3 linked regions of the Nothobranchius furzeri genome follow. Each later gene encodes a partner of the first gene's protein in a complex. Links are inferred from orthologs where the notes say so. Each region holds a gene or a part of one and is shown on either strand. Other genes may lie near its edges.

What was found. Proteins that work in one complex are often made in the same cells at the same time.
Region 2: the proteins of rab11 family-interacting protein 2 (region 1) and ras-related protein Rab-25 are in contact, whole or in part, in a crystal structure (PDB 3TSO), measured with the Homo sapiens proteins. The link is inferred for Nothobranchius furzeri from reciprocal best matches to the Homo sapiens genes RAB11FIP2 and RAB25. Residues at the interface, in NP_055719.1 of Homo sapiens: Arg475, Glu478, Ile481, Asp482, Asn483, Leu485, Val486, Met489, Pro493, Ser494, Leu496, Arg497, Val498, Pro499; in NP_065120.2 of Homo sapiens: Arg34, Ile45, Gly46, Val47, Glu48, Phe49, Ser50, Thr51, Lys62, Trp66, Arg73, Arg75, Ala76, Ile77, Ala80, Tyr81.
Region 3: the proteins of rab11 family-interacting protein 2 (region 1) and rab11a are in contact, whole or in part, in a crystal structure (PDB 2GZD), measured with the Homo sapiens proteins. The link is inferred for Nothobranchius furzeri from reciprocal best matches to the Homo sapiens genes RAB11FIP2 and RAB11A. Residues at the interface, in NP_055719.1 of Homo sapiens: Glu478, Ile481, Asp482, Asn483, Leu485, Val486, Met489, Glu490, Pro493, Ser494, Leu496, Arg497, Val498; in NP_004654.1 of Homo sapiens: Arg33, Ile44, Gly45, Val46, Glu47, Phe48, Ala49, Thr50, Lys61, Trp65, Arg72, Arg74, Ala75, Ile76, Ala79, Tyr80, Arg82.

Annotation. Positions count from the first base shown.
Region 1 is NC_091752.1:6,563,732-6,567,806, reverse strand, and holds the start of rab11 family-interacting protein 2, read right to left. Parts: upstream 2,801-4,075; 5' UTR 2,576-2,800; coding exon 2,223-2,575; intron 1-2,222. UniProt on the Homo sapiens protein: A Rab11 effector binding preferentially phosphatidylinositol 3,4,5-trisphosphate (PtdInsP3) and phosphatidic acid (PA) and acting in the regulation of the transport of vesicles from the endosomal recycling compartment (ERC) to the plasma membrane.
Region 2 is NC_091759.1:20,370,609-20,374,877, reverse strand, and holds the start of ras-related protein Rab-25, read left to right. Parts: upstream 1-1,469; 5' UTR 1,470-1,603; coding exon 1,604-1,640; intron 1,641-2,056; coding exon 2,057-2,252; intron 2,253-3,848; coding exon 3,849-4,042; intron 4,043-4,121; coding exon 4,122-4,202; intron 4,203-4,269. UniProt on the Homo sapiens protein: The small GTPases Rab are key regulators of intracellular membrane trafficking, from the formation of transport vesicles to their fusion with membranes.
Region 3 is NC_091749.1:66,767,987-66,772,013, reverse strand, and holds the start of rab11a (ras-related protein Rab-11A), read left to right. Parts: upstream 1-1,227; 5' UTR 1,228-1,352; coding exon 1,353-1,392; intron 1,393-4,027. Other genes in the region: SH2 domain-containing protein 7, read left to right, coding at 1-70. UniProt on the Homo sapiens protein: The small GTPases Rab are key regulators of intracellular membrane trafficking, from the formation of transport vesicles to their fusion with membranes.

The DNA.
Region 1 (4,075 bases):
TCTGGGACTTAGATCTGAAAAAAAATCTGAACTATGGCAGAACATAAACTTATTTTGAAAATCACTACTTCATGTTAAACATCTTCCTGTTTGCACTTTGATTATGTCTTAAGAACAAAACAAGCCGAGTCATTTATACAGTTGCCCTCACCTTAACAAATCAACTGGTGGTCTGAATCTGCCGTTATCGGCGGAACCAACGAGTCAACGACATGTTTTAGGTCAGTGAACGCACGCTAAAGCTTGGGTCCACTTCACCAAATGTGATGGGTAACTGGGTGATGATGAAACCACCGACAGACAACGATCTAAGTGAGACATCCTCATCTTAATCTGCTCTGGTAGGTAAATAAAATGTTTTAGATAATGTTAGCTTGATATGTTACCTTCCGTTTCGCTAATGGTGCGTTCGCTTTCTCCTCGGAACTCCGAATTCCCGACTAGAAGAACATGAACGCGCTCTAAAGTTTGGCTTCACTTTACTAAATGCGACGGGTGATTGGGTGAAGATGAAACCAGTGACAACAATTTAAGTGTGAGGCATCATCGTTTTAATCTGCTCCAGCAGCTAAATAAACTGTTTAAGATAACGTTAGGTTGATATGTTAGCTTCCATAGCTACCATTGTTATCAGCTAATGGAGCGTTCACTTTCTCCTCGGAAATTCTAACTTCCCAGTAGGAGAAATCAAAACGGCAAAAGGAATGAAGATACACAGTAAATTTAGTTCACAGTAAAGATGTTTGCTTCAGTTTAATTATCAGCTTATAAAACTACAAGGACGATGTTAAAATACAGTTGTATGTTATTTATCATGATATATATCAAATATTGTTATATATTGAGAAAAATATATATTTAATTATAAAAGAGAATTAAAATAATAAACACTCAAAAGTATCGAAAATTGGTACCGTTAAGTACCGGTATCGATTCGTAGGTACCGGGAAATAGTACCAGATCGATTCAAATGTCAAAGGTACCCATCCCTATGATAATTTAATGCATTGCAGAAACTTCATACTATGTAAATATCTAACAGCAGATTTCTTTGAACTTCTGGCTTATTTTTGGGAATTGCATCTCAGAAATACTTGGGAGTAGGGGTGAGTACCGAATTCGGTACTTTTTAAGGTACCGACCAAATTCCATAGTACCGACCGAACACCGATTCACGTCATTTCAAACGGTGCCTCGTTTCGGTACCCGTCCATCACAACGAGAACTTGCCAAGACAGCCGCGCATGCGCAAGAGCGTTATGTCGCCGGTCCCTGCGAGCCCGTTGTAAACAGAGCAGCATGGTAGAAAGAACGCACGCTAAAGCTTGGGTCCACTTCACTAAATGTGATGGGTAACTGGGTGATGATGAAACCAGCGACAACGATCTAAGTGAGACATCCTCATCTTAATCTGCTCCGGTAGGTAAATAAAATGTTTAAGATAACGTTACCTTGATTTGTTAGCTTCCGTTTCGCTAATGGTGCGTTCGCTTTCTCCTCGGAACTCCGAATTTCCGACTAGAAGAACATGAACGCGCTCTAAAGTTTGGCTTTACTTTACTAAATGCGACGGGTGATTGGGTGAAGATGAAACCAGTGACAACGATCTAAGTTTGAGGCATCATCGTTTTAATCTGCTCCAGCAGCTAAATAAACTGTTAAAGATAACGTTAGCTTGATATGTTAGCTTCCATTGCTACCATTGTTATCAGCTAATGGTGCGTTCGCTTTCTCCTCGGAAATTCTAACTTCCCAGTAGGAAAAATCAAATGAAAAAGGACGGCAAAAGGAATGAAGATACACAGTAAATTTAGTTCACAGTAAAGATGTTTGCTTCAGTTTAATTATCAGCTTATAAAACTACAAGGACGATGTTAAAATACAAACTTGTATGATATTTATCGTCATATTTATCAAATATTGTTATATATTGAGAAAAATATATATTTAATTATAAAAGAGAATTAAAATAATAAACACTCAAAAGTATCGAAAATTGGTACCGTTAAGTACCGGTATCAACTCGTAGGTACCGGGAATTAGTACCGGATCGATTCAAATGTCAAAGGTACCCATCCCTACTTGGGAAGTGATTCTTTTTGACACGTTTGACAATCATAAAGAACAAATAAATGAATCTGAATGAGTACATTAATGCAATAGAGTCATAAACTTGTATTCATGGCTTTTCATTTACACGTTTAGTGCATAAATATACTTACTCTGTTTTCTTTCTCTCCTTATTAACAAATATTTCATTGAGGTTGATGAACTTTTGACCCAGGAACTTGTCCATCCCCACTAAGGACCGATGCATGACTGTAAGGCAGAGCTCGTAGACTTCGGGGTTTCCCTCTAAAAGAAGACCAGGTAACTCAAACGAGGCCTCCTCTTTCCAGACGGGGTTGATCGTCTTCTCCGCCACCGACGTGGAGTACTTTTCTTTGCCCAGTTGGATGATGGTGTAGGCGTCATTGGTGCCATTTTTGCCTTTGGACTGTAAACCAGTGGCTTGAAGAACAGTGGCTTGGACATGGGTAGGAAACCATTTCTGAGACTGAACACCCAGTGACATGTTGAGCACCGTTTTCAGCTGAAATCCATTCAAAACCAGTTAATATGTGATGGATGAGGGGATTTTAGTGGGTTTCATGGGTAAAAAAGAAGGAAGCAAAAATTAGGATTCACTATAGTTTGTTCTCCATGTTGGTGTGGTTTACATTGCTATGGTAACAAGCAGGTCTGCCAAACAGAGCACGCTTCATCGTCTATCAAATCACAGATGTCCAAGCCACTGTTGAGTCATCTGTGAAAAATAGAGAAAGAAGCAGAGATGCATCAGGATATTTCTGAGAACTAGAACATGAGTCAGAACCGAAGCTGGGCTCGGACTGACAACAAATCCTGAGCAACACTCACATGGGTGTAAACAGACACATCAGAACGTTCACAAGGGGCCACCCCAAAACTCGAGGGTTGCAGGTTCGAGCCCTGTCGGTCTGTCATTGTGTCCTAGGGCAAGACACATAACCCGCCTTGCCTGTTGGTGGTGGTCGGAGGGACCGGTGGTACCAGTGATCAGCAGCCTCGCCTCTGTCAGTGTGGCCCAGATCAGCTGTGGCTACATCGTAGCTCATCACCAACAGGGTGTGAATGACTGATTGTGTTGTAAAGCACCTTGGGGGGTTGTAGAACTCTCGAAGGCGTTATATCAAGAACAAGCCATTTAGATGGTAAATGGCTTGTCTTTGTATAGCGCCTTCTTAGGGTTTTACAGCTCCCCAAGGTGCTTTACAACACAATCAGTCATTTACCCATTCACACGCGGTTGGTGATGAGCTACGATGTAGCCACAGCTGATCTGGGCTACACTGACAGAGGCGAGGCTGCTGATCACTGGTACCACCAGTCCCTCCGACCATCACCAGCAGGCAAGGCGGGTTAAGTGTCTTGCTCAAGGATTGGACAGCAGCCTTCTCTGGTCAGAGCCGAGATCGAACCTGCGACCTTCCGATTACTGGACCAGCTCTACCTCCTGAGCGACTGCATTTACAAGGGTCCTTGATTCCATCACGTTGTGTCTCCAGTAAAGACGTTTGGAAAGTTTGAACTATTCTGAATGAGAGTTGGTCTGTTCCTACTCGCCCCATGAACTACAACACTCAAAATGTGTCCCAAACAAACTGATTCAATGTGTGTCCAGATGAAAGTTGACAGATTTTCTAGACCTTTTCCCCAAACCCATTAAGATATAAGGGGTGTGTGTATGGTAAAATCTACATTTAGGACCAAAATGACACAAATCTGAATTATTAATTATGCAATGTTGAGAAATGCTTAAATGCATGTTAATCCGTCCCACACCACAGCAGATTTAGGATTTTACTGAACTTTTACAGGAAGTCACAAGAACTGAGTCTCAGTTTGAAGCATTTGGAGTTTTTTTGATTGACGGCTTTTAATCCTGCATGAGATTATAGGTAAACAAATAGTTTAGTCTGTATGTCAACTTATTTTTGGGGTCTCAGAATATTAATTGTACAATAACAAAGATAAAACATATAGTGGTCAATAC
Region 2 (4,269 bases), on another chromosome or scaffold:
TTATCTATCTATATATACTTTTATTCCAAACACCTAATATATTGACGTGGGCAAAATGACATCGATAACAGACGTACATTTTGGAGTTGTTACATTTTTGGTGTACTGCCTACCTCTAGTGTCGACCTGCTTTACGGCTATACTGTGCCGATAGGCTAACGGTTAGCTTTGTCAGTAAAACTGTTGGTAAAAATCACAAGAAGAAGAAGAAGAAGAGGTTTAGTTTTTTGTCAGCATCATGGCGGAGCCTGGAAGTAAAAGGAAGAGAGTAATGTCTTTGGAGGCGAAGTGAAGAAAGTTCAGACCAGACAAAGAGCTAGAACTAGAGCTAACATCAACACGGCCTACGCTGTTTCAGTTTCTAACCCTCTAAAAAAGTAGGAAGCAAAGTTATCTGCAAAGCCAGAGCGAGCAACAGCGCCGTTGTTTATGACGACCAACCATTTGGGAGCAGAACCGGGAAAATTGTTGCTTTAAAGAAAATCTTCAGTGAACGTCTGAGTCGAGACGACTTCAGGAGACAAAACCGGATGGAAGTTTGTTTCACACGTACAGAGAGTCATGGCTGACATGTTGAATGAGATACGTTCACCCATCCGTCTCCGAACCCCTCACTCACTCACTCACTCACTCACTCACTCACTCACTCACTCACAGGGCGTCCAGCAGGGGGACAACCTGGACAGGTCTCCAGTCCATCACAGGGTCACCCACTCACACCTAGGGACACCAGTCAACGTAGGAGGAAACTCAACTGCTCAGAAATTCCACCCATGCGGGATTCGAACCAGCAACCTTACGACAATCCTGCTGCACCACCCTGCATCCTCCTCTTCATGGGCTTAATTTAAAACTCTGTAAGTGGCCCTTTATTAACGCTACCGTTACAGTTATTAAAACTTTATTAATGCTTTATAAGTAACGTTAATAAAGGGACGGTTATTGTAACGTGTCACTAAAACTCGGATGAGAAGGTGATGGGAGATCCTTCAGATTAATGCTTTTTCGTGGCTTTAATTCACCAAACGTCACCTTTAGGTGTGTAATTTGTAAATAATCGACACAAAGACATATTTTCAGGAGTTCCCTTCTTTAAAGGTTTGATTTATTGTAAACAAACTGTCAAACTATTTAAAAAGACAAATTTAATTTCTTTTAATGTTTCATTTTTTTGAAGGTAGCAGAAGAGAAAACAGTAAATTCAGTCGAACCACAAGAACAAAAAACACCAGTTTAAATCAAAACGATTCTCCACAGCCAGATTCTGAGACGAAACCGTGACCTGTTCTGTCGCTCGGATCCTCCAGCTGCTGGGTGAGGACGATTGTTAAACAAATTAGGCTGAGAGGGTGGAGTCTCTCCCTGAGAGTGGTTTAACCTGTTCCACCTGCTCACCTTCCCTCGGCCCTCCTTCGGGCGTCAGCTGATGGACAATCAGGAATCCTGCTGCGTCTTTTGTCCTCAGCAGCGACTTGAATCCAGAGTAAAAGGGAAGAGGATCCTTACTGAAGGCGGTGAGGTCGTCCTGGACTTGTTTTAATAGTCCTCCACATTTTGAAAGTGGCTCCAGGATATCCAGGGACCCATCGGCACTGACTGCAGCATGGGGTCGGATGAGTCGTACAACTTTGTCTTTAAAGGTGAGTCACGTTCACTTCAGCTGTGATTGTTTAAGCTAGAGCTCGAGTTTGTTTCTTCCTGATCTCTTGAGGTGCAGCTAGTTGCTCTAATTTCTAAGAAAGAGCCCGAGCAGGGCAATAAGGAAGTGACTACTTCCTGTCTCTTTGGTTGTATTGCTTTCTGACCTTTGACCTGTCACGGGAGCACAAGTCCTTACTTTTCCTGCTTAATTAAAGCTGTAAAATTTAGTGTTTGATGTCTCAAACCTGCAGTGATTCTTCATTTCTCTCATTTCCAAAGTTGAGTCAGCCTCTGTGTCTGCCATGTTGGTGTGATGTCATAGGATGTGCGTTTAGTGTGGCAGAAATATCTGATTCATCAGTTTGTCCCAGAAAACGAGTTCACTCACGATCTGGTCTGGTCTGCTTCTCTCTAGTGGTTCTGATCGGGGAGTCGGGCGTAGGGAAGAGCAACCTTCTGTCCCGCTTCACCAAGAATGATTTCACCCACGATAGCCGCACCACCATCGGCGTGGAGTTCAGCACCCGTACCGTTCAGCTAGACCAGTTCACCATCAAGGCCCAGATCTGGGACACAGCTGGGCTGGAGCGCTATAGGGCCATCACCTCAGCGTGGGCACACACTCATACATACACTTGTATTTATATACTTGTGTGGACCAGTCATTGAATTCCATTTATTTTAGTGACTCCACTCTACTTAACCCTAACCTCAACTAAAAGTTAATACACACCACGCCTCCAGAACCAAGTATTAGGGTGTTTTCCTCATTGGTTCCAAACATTTTCACACGTTACAGGTTAAAAGTCTAAATTAGTTCTCACAATGCATTGAAGACATTCTTCTGTCAGGTGAAAGGCTTTGACCTTTTGACTAGCATACCGCACAAAAAAAAAGCTCATTCAGAAATGTATGAGCCCTGGAGGTAACAGGAAAAAAATGTTTTTGGGTCCTCATTTGGTTTTAGCTTTGTTTGAGAGATCCCGACTTTGTTAGTGAGATCTCGGCTTTGTTTTGCGAGATCCCAGCTTTGTTTAGTGAGATCCCGACTTTGTTTGTGAGATCCCATTTGTTTTGCTGAGATCCCGACTTTGCTAGTGAGATCCCAACTTTGTTAGCAAGATCCCGACTTTGTTAGCAAGATCCCAAATTTGTTAGCGAGATCCCGACTTTGTTTAGTGAGATCCCAACTTTGTTTTGTGAGATCCCAACTTTGTTTAGCGAGATCCCGACTTTGTTTTGCTGAGATCCCGACTTTGTTTTGCTGAGATCTCGACTTTGTTTTGCTGAGATCCCGACTTTGTTTTGCTGAGATCCCGACTTTGCTAGCGAGATCCCGACTTTGTTAGCGAGATCCCGACTTTGTTAGTGAGATCCCGACTTTGTTAGCGAGATCCCGACTTTGTTTTGCTGAGATCCCGACTTTGTTTTGTGAGATCCCGACTTTGTTTTGTGAGTTACCAACTTTGTTTTGCTGAGATCCCGACTTTGCTAGCGAGATCCCGACTTTGTTTAGCGAGATCCAGATTTTGTTTAGCGAGATCCCGACTTTGTTTAGCGAGATCCAGATTTTGTTTAGCGAGATCCCAACTTTGTTTAGTGAGATCCCGACTTTGTTTAGCGAGATCCCGGCTTTGTTTAGTGAGATCCCGACTTTGTTAGTGAGATCCCGACTTTGTTTAGTGAGATCCCGACTTTGTTTAGCAAGATCCCGACTTTGTTTAGCAAGATCCCGACTTTGTTTAGTGAGATCCCAAGATCATTAACAAAGGAAGTGTGTGTGTGTGCGTGTGTGTGTGTGTGTGTGTGTGTGTCACAATATCTGTGATCACTTCTGTTGATCTGAGAGAAGCAGAACTTCTTAAGAGAAAATTGAAGATAATCTTGAGATCTCACAAAAAAATTTTTTTCTTCTTCTCTAACTTCCCCAGGGCTCAGTACTTAGTAATAAAATTATTTTTATAATTATTAATTAACCCATGTTGTCCATATTGAATTAAAAAAAGTTGTTATTTTATTGTATTGTATTGTTTTTATTAGAGGCATCTAAAACAGCGTAACGAATTACACAAGTTACCTTATTTATTGTTCTCAGGTATACACATGGGGCGTTCCTGCCCTTTCACAGCGACCATGTAAGGATTGATTGTTCCTCTCAGTAGAAGATCCAACCCATGATTGTGTCATCTCTCACCTGGTGTGTTCAGGTATTACAGAGGAGCGGTTGGTGCGCTGCTGGTCTATGACATCAGCAAGCACCTGACCTATGAAAGCGTTGAGCGATGGCTGAAGGAGCTGTACGACCACGCAGACCCTCACATCGTGGTGATGCTGGTGGGAAATAAGGTGGACCTGGAGAGCCTCAGGACTGTTCCCACAGAGGAGGCCAAAGACTTTGCAGGTTCATCAACTGTTGTTCAACCATTAGATCATTTTTAAATATCAGCGGTAATTAATTCTCAAACTCTTCCTCGATTCAGACAAGAAAGGGCTCATGTTCATGGAGACTTCCGCGTTGAACGCCACCAACGTCGAGGCAGCTTTCAATGATGTTCTGAAAGGTAAGAGACTTTTGCTTTGGTGCACGCTCACTGAAGGCGTGAGACAGAGTCGTGAAACGTTTGTTTT
Region 3 (4,027 bases), on another chromosome or scaffold:
AAGCACCTGGGGCAAAAATGTAAGATGCAACGTCATGTGCTGGTTTTTATTACAGAGAGTAAATAAATAATCTGACGTTTTTTTTTAAATAATTTTGTCTCTACAGAACATAAAATGGAGGAACTTCTTAAAGAAATAAATATATCTTGTGGAGTTTCTCAAGTTCGGGGCTTCCTCCTGACGTCAGGAGACTTCATTCAGAATCTCTAAGAGATGAAAATAAAAACAGGCCTCCTGGAGTGAGATTCATACCTGCATGATCAATTATGGGGTGAAAAGAGGGGGATACTGACCACCACAAATTACAGCAGGCCCAGAAAATCCTCCCTGTTATCTTATAGCAGGGGTGGTCCCGATAGCCAGCATGATTTAGTTGTTTCCCTGCTTCAACACACCTGGTTGTAATCAGCAGGTGATTAACAGGCTTTTACGGAGCCTGAGGAGCTTCTGAACAGGTGATTCAACCACTGAATTATGTAGAGTATAGAGGAACAACGAAAACATGGATACCGCCCTTTGGAGACCAGGATTGAGAACCAATGTCTTAGAAGATTAAACTCTTGTGGATCAAATGACATTATCCTACATGTTCACATGTATAGGCTATGCTGGGCTACTATAGTGAGCTTAATATCTGTATTGTTTATTTTGGGACTGAAGGACATGGGACACTAGCCCCAGAAGCCCTTCAACCCCTCCATCCTAGAAGTGTTGAGATTTAGTTATGCAAAATGGTAAATGGCCTGTGGCGCCTTCTAGGATTCTAAAACCCCCCAAGGCACTTTACAACGAACCAGCCATTCACCCATGCACACACACATTCACATGCTGGTGATGGTGAGCTACAATGTAGCCACAGCTGCCCTGCTACAGCGAGATGTGCAGGTCACTTTAACTAACTGAAGAGATAAACACTCAGGTTAGCATCATTTTTATACTTTATTCATAGCCTAATTATACTGTTATTAATGAATGTATTGATGCCTAAAAATAAATAACTTTTAAGTTTGAAATCACTTTATTTATTTGACACTTGGTGAGCATACAGTATTCTACATTTAATGAAAAAATAATGTATTTATGAGTTTTAAGGCCTCCAAATTAATGTCTTCCTCAATATGCGCGTTCCCGTAACAATGCATGCAAATGTCTCGGCTGGCATTTTCGGTACACACACCTCCAGGTTGCGCTCCGTCCTGTGGCCGCTGGGGGGCAGAGTATCCGCTGCATTCCGCTGTCAGGATTCCAGCGAAGAAGAAACTATCTCCCATCTAATTCCCGTCGGACAGTAAAATCTCGTCTTTTCTGTTTTAACAAAATCATTTTTGGACCCGCTCTCCAGTGTTGGGACGATGGGCACCAGAGATGATGAATACGACTATTTATTCAAAGGTAAAGCGGTGTTTGTTGTTATTTGGCAGGCTAGGCGGTGGAGCTAACGGAACCGCCGTCAGCCTTTTGTGTTCGGGTCTCAACAAACTTCTCTGACGTGAGTCAGCGCGTTGAATCGGTTTTCCGAACTCCCGACGAACCATGTCTGACTCGTTCGGGTAGGAAATTGTTCATCCGGTGCTTGTTGTTCGTGCTAAAGCGCATCTTGGTTCGGGATAGCGGTTAGCTCGGGTTAGCCTGCCGACAGCCAGCGGGACACACCTAGACCTAACATGATCAGATCCTCCTGATGCGATCCGGACCGATCTGCCAGCAGCACCGTTAACGGGCCCGAGACGACGTTTAACAGCAAATTCAGAGCCCGAGGCAGAACCGGGCTGGTCCAGCTGAGGTGAAACTGGACGAAAAACTCTTAACTGCTTTATTGATCAGGTTATTAATATCAGATTATTGATCAGGTTGTTCATCTGTGGGTTATTTATATTCCACTCTCACGTGAGCTTCCGGTTTCGTATTCTCACATTTCTTCCACTAACCTCCTGTTTTCCCGAGAGTTTTAACTTCATTTATCAGTTTATAAAAACACCAAATCCTGAAAGGAGCAGAATCACCAAAGAGAACATAAAATAATCAAGTATCATTAAAATAACTCCTGAATAAGAAGTAAAACGGTTGTATTTGTCTTTTTCAACCCCCCCCCCAAGCGATTTATTTTAGTGCATCTTAGTTAAAATTGAAATATTCTGCTTAAAACTGTCAATGTTGTCAGGTAAAAACTCTGCACTGCATTCAAATTTAAATCTGCCATCGCTATTGGCTGAGAAGTACACTATGATGTCAGCTGGTACATTATGAGATCACAATGTTGTTGGCCTTGTTCGAGTTGAGCAGCGCCTCGCTTGGAAAACAGATGAAAGCAGACGGATGCAGCAGGGGGAGTGGCTGAAAGCCGGCGTTTAATGCCTGATTCATGCTCCTCCATCTGCGTCAGTGCTGAGACACGCAACGTCAGAGAGCTCCGCGAGGACGGACGGAGTCGAGCTCTCTTTTCTAAACATCCGTCAGTCGAGACGGAGAACGCAAGCTTGTGATTGGTCAGGACGCCGCTGTTGTCTACAGCGCCGCCATTGCGCCCTCAAAAACATAAAGAGAGCCGAGGATAACTAGTGGCAGACACGGAGCAGCTTGAAGAATACCTCGCGAAAAAACTCTAAAATATGAATGTTTAATTCCCCAGTGACAGGAGGAGTGAAAAGATGCGCAGCAAGCGTTTTATTAGTGGATGGAAATGACAGGAAACGTGGGTTTAGAGGTGGCGAGCGCATGAAGAGGTGGAGGAGAATGAGAGACAAATTTGTCTGTTAAAAAGTCTCTTATATACAAAAAAACATAATATAAACACACCATCTTGGACCGGATGCATGACAGGATACCACAGAACAGCCTACGTCCTCTGTTGTCCTGCTGGGGAATTGCTTTGCAACACTCTCCAGGAGACGGAGAAGTATGAGAGCAAAACGCTTCCGTCAATCCGTGCGTGTCTGTCCTTTGCGGAGCTGACGGAGAAGCATGAACCAGGCTTAAGATGATCAAATTTCCCTACATGTAGCTCGCAGGTGATGATGGATAAAGATATCACATTCATTCATACTTGTTTAATTTGTAATTAAAGTTCTGGTGCTTGTTAGCAACTGAAACACATCCTGACAATATCATGTAATGTTGACATGTGCATATGAAGTAATAATAAGTAAAGGTTAGCAGCTGTAGAGTTTTAGTGTGCTCATAGGAAATGTGACAATAAAAACACAAATCACATTTCTCTTTATGGCCTATATAGTTGTCATCTTAGATCAGGTGAGAGCGAGGCGTTTCCTGTCACGCCCTAGGTTTTGCAACCGGCGGAGAGCAACTGCAGCGCCTTGCTCCAAAATCTGCGGCCGCCTTGATCTCACGAGGTTATCGTTGCCTACGTAGGCATGACATCAGAGCAAGTCGGCGTCAAGTCAGACACAAATCTAACCAGCATGCACTGCGCGCCGATCACCGGTGATCGAATCTGCGCAGAACTGGATCATCTTGAACACGGCCAATGTGAGCCTGTGTGTGTGTGTGTTAGCGGCTCTGCCCTTTCGGTCTGCCAGGCAGCAGCATTTTTTAAACAGGAAATGGGAGTGGAGTGAGACTCTGGTAGGGGTGACTTGCTCTTTAACATGGCACCTGTCAGTGGACGGGGCCAAGGGGGTGGGACTCCTAACATCCTGATAAAACGATCCCGCTCCTATGTATTTTAGACCAGATTTTTATGGTTATATGTTACAAAGCAACAACTGGGAATTATTTCATTCATTTTCAACAACATTTTGATGGATATTTCCTGAAATTTATGGTAAAAACTTCAAATTGTCTCTTTAAAAAATATTGAGTAAAAAACGCCCAGAGACAAATAAAAAAATATAAATAAATTACGGGTGCACCAATTGCAGTTTTTGGCTGATCACTGTTCACCAATCTTGAAAAAAATAAAAACAGACTTGCTGATACTGATTTTTGTCTCAACTAAAAGCAGATTATGTCAATGTTTCAATTTCCTTTTATTGTGAAAACCAACATGAATACTCATGAAACAATACCA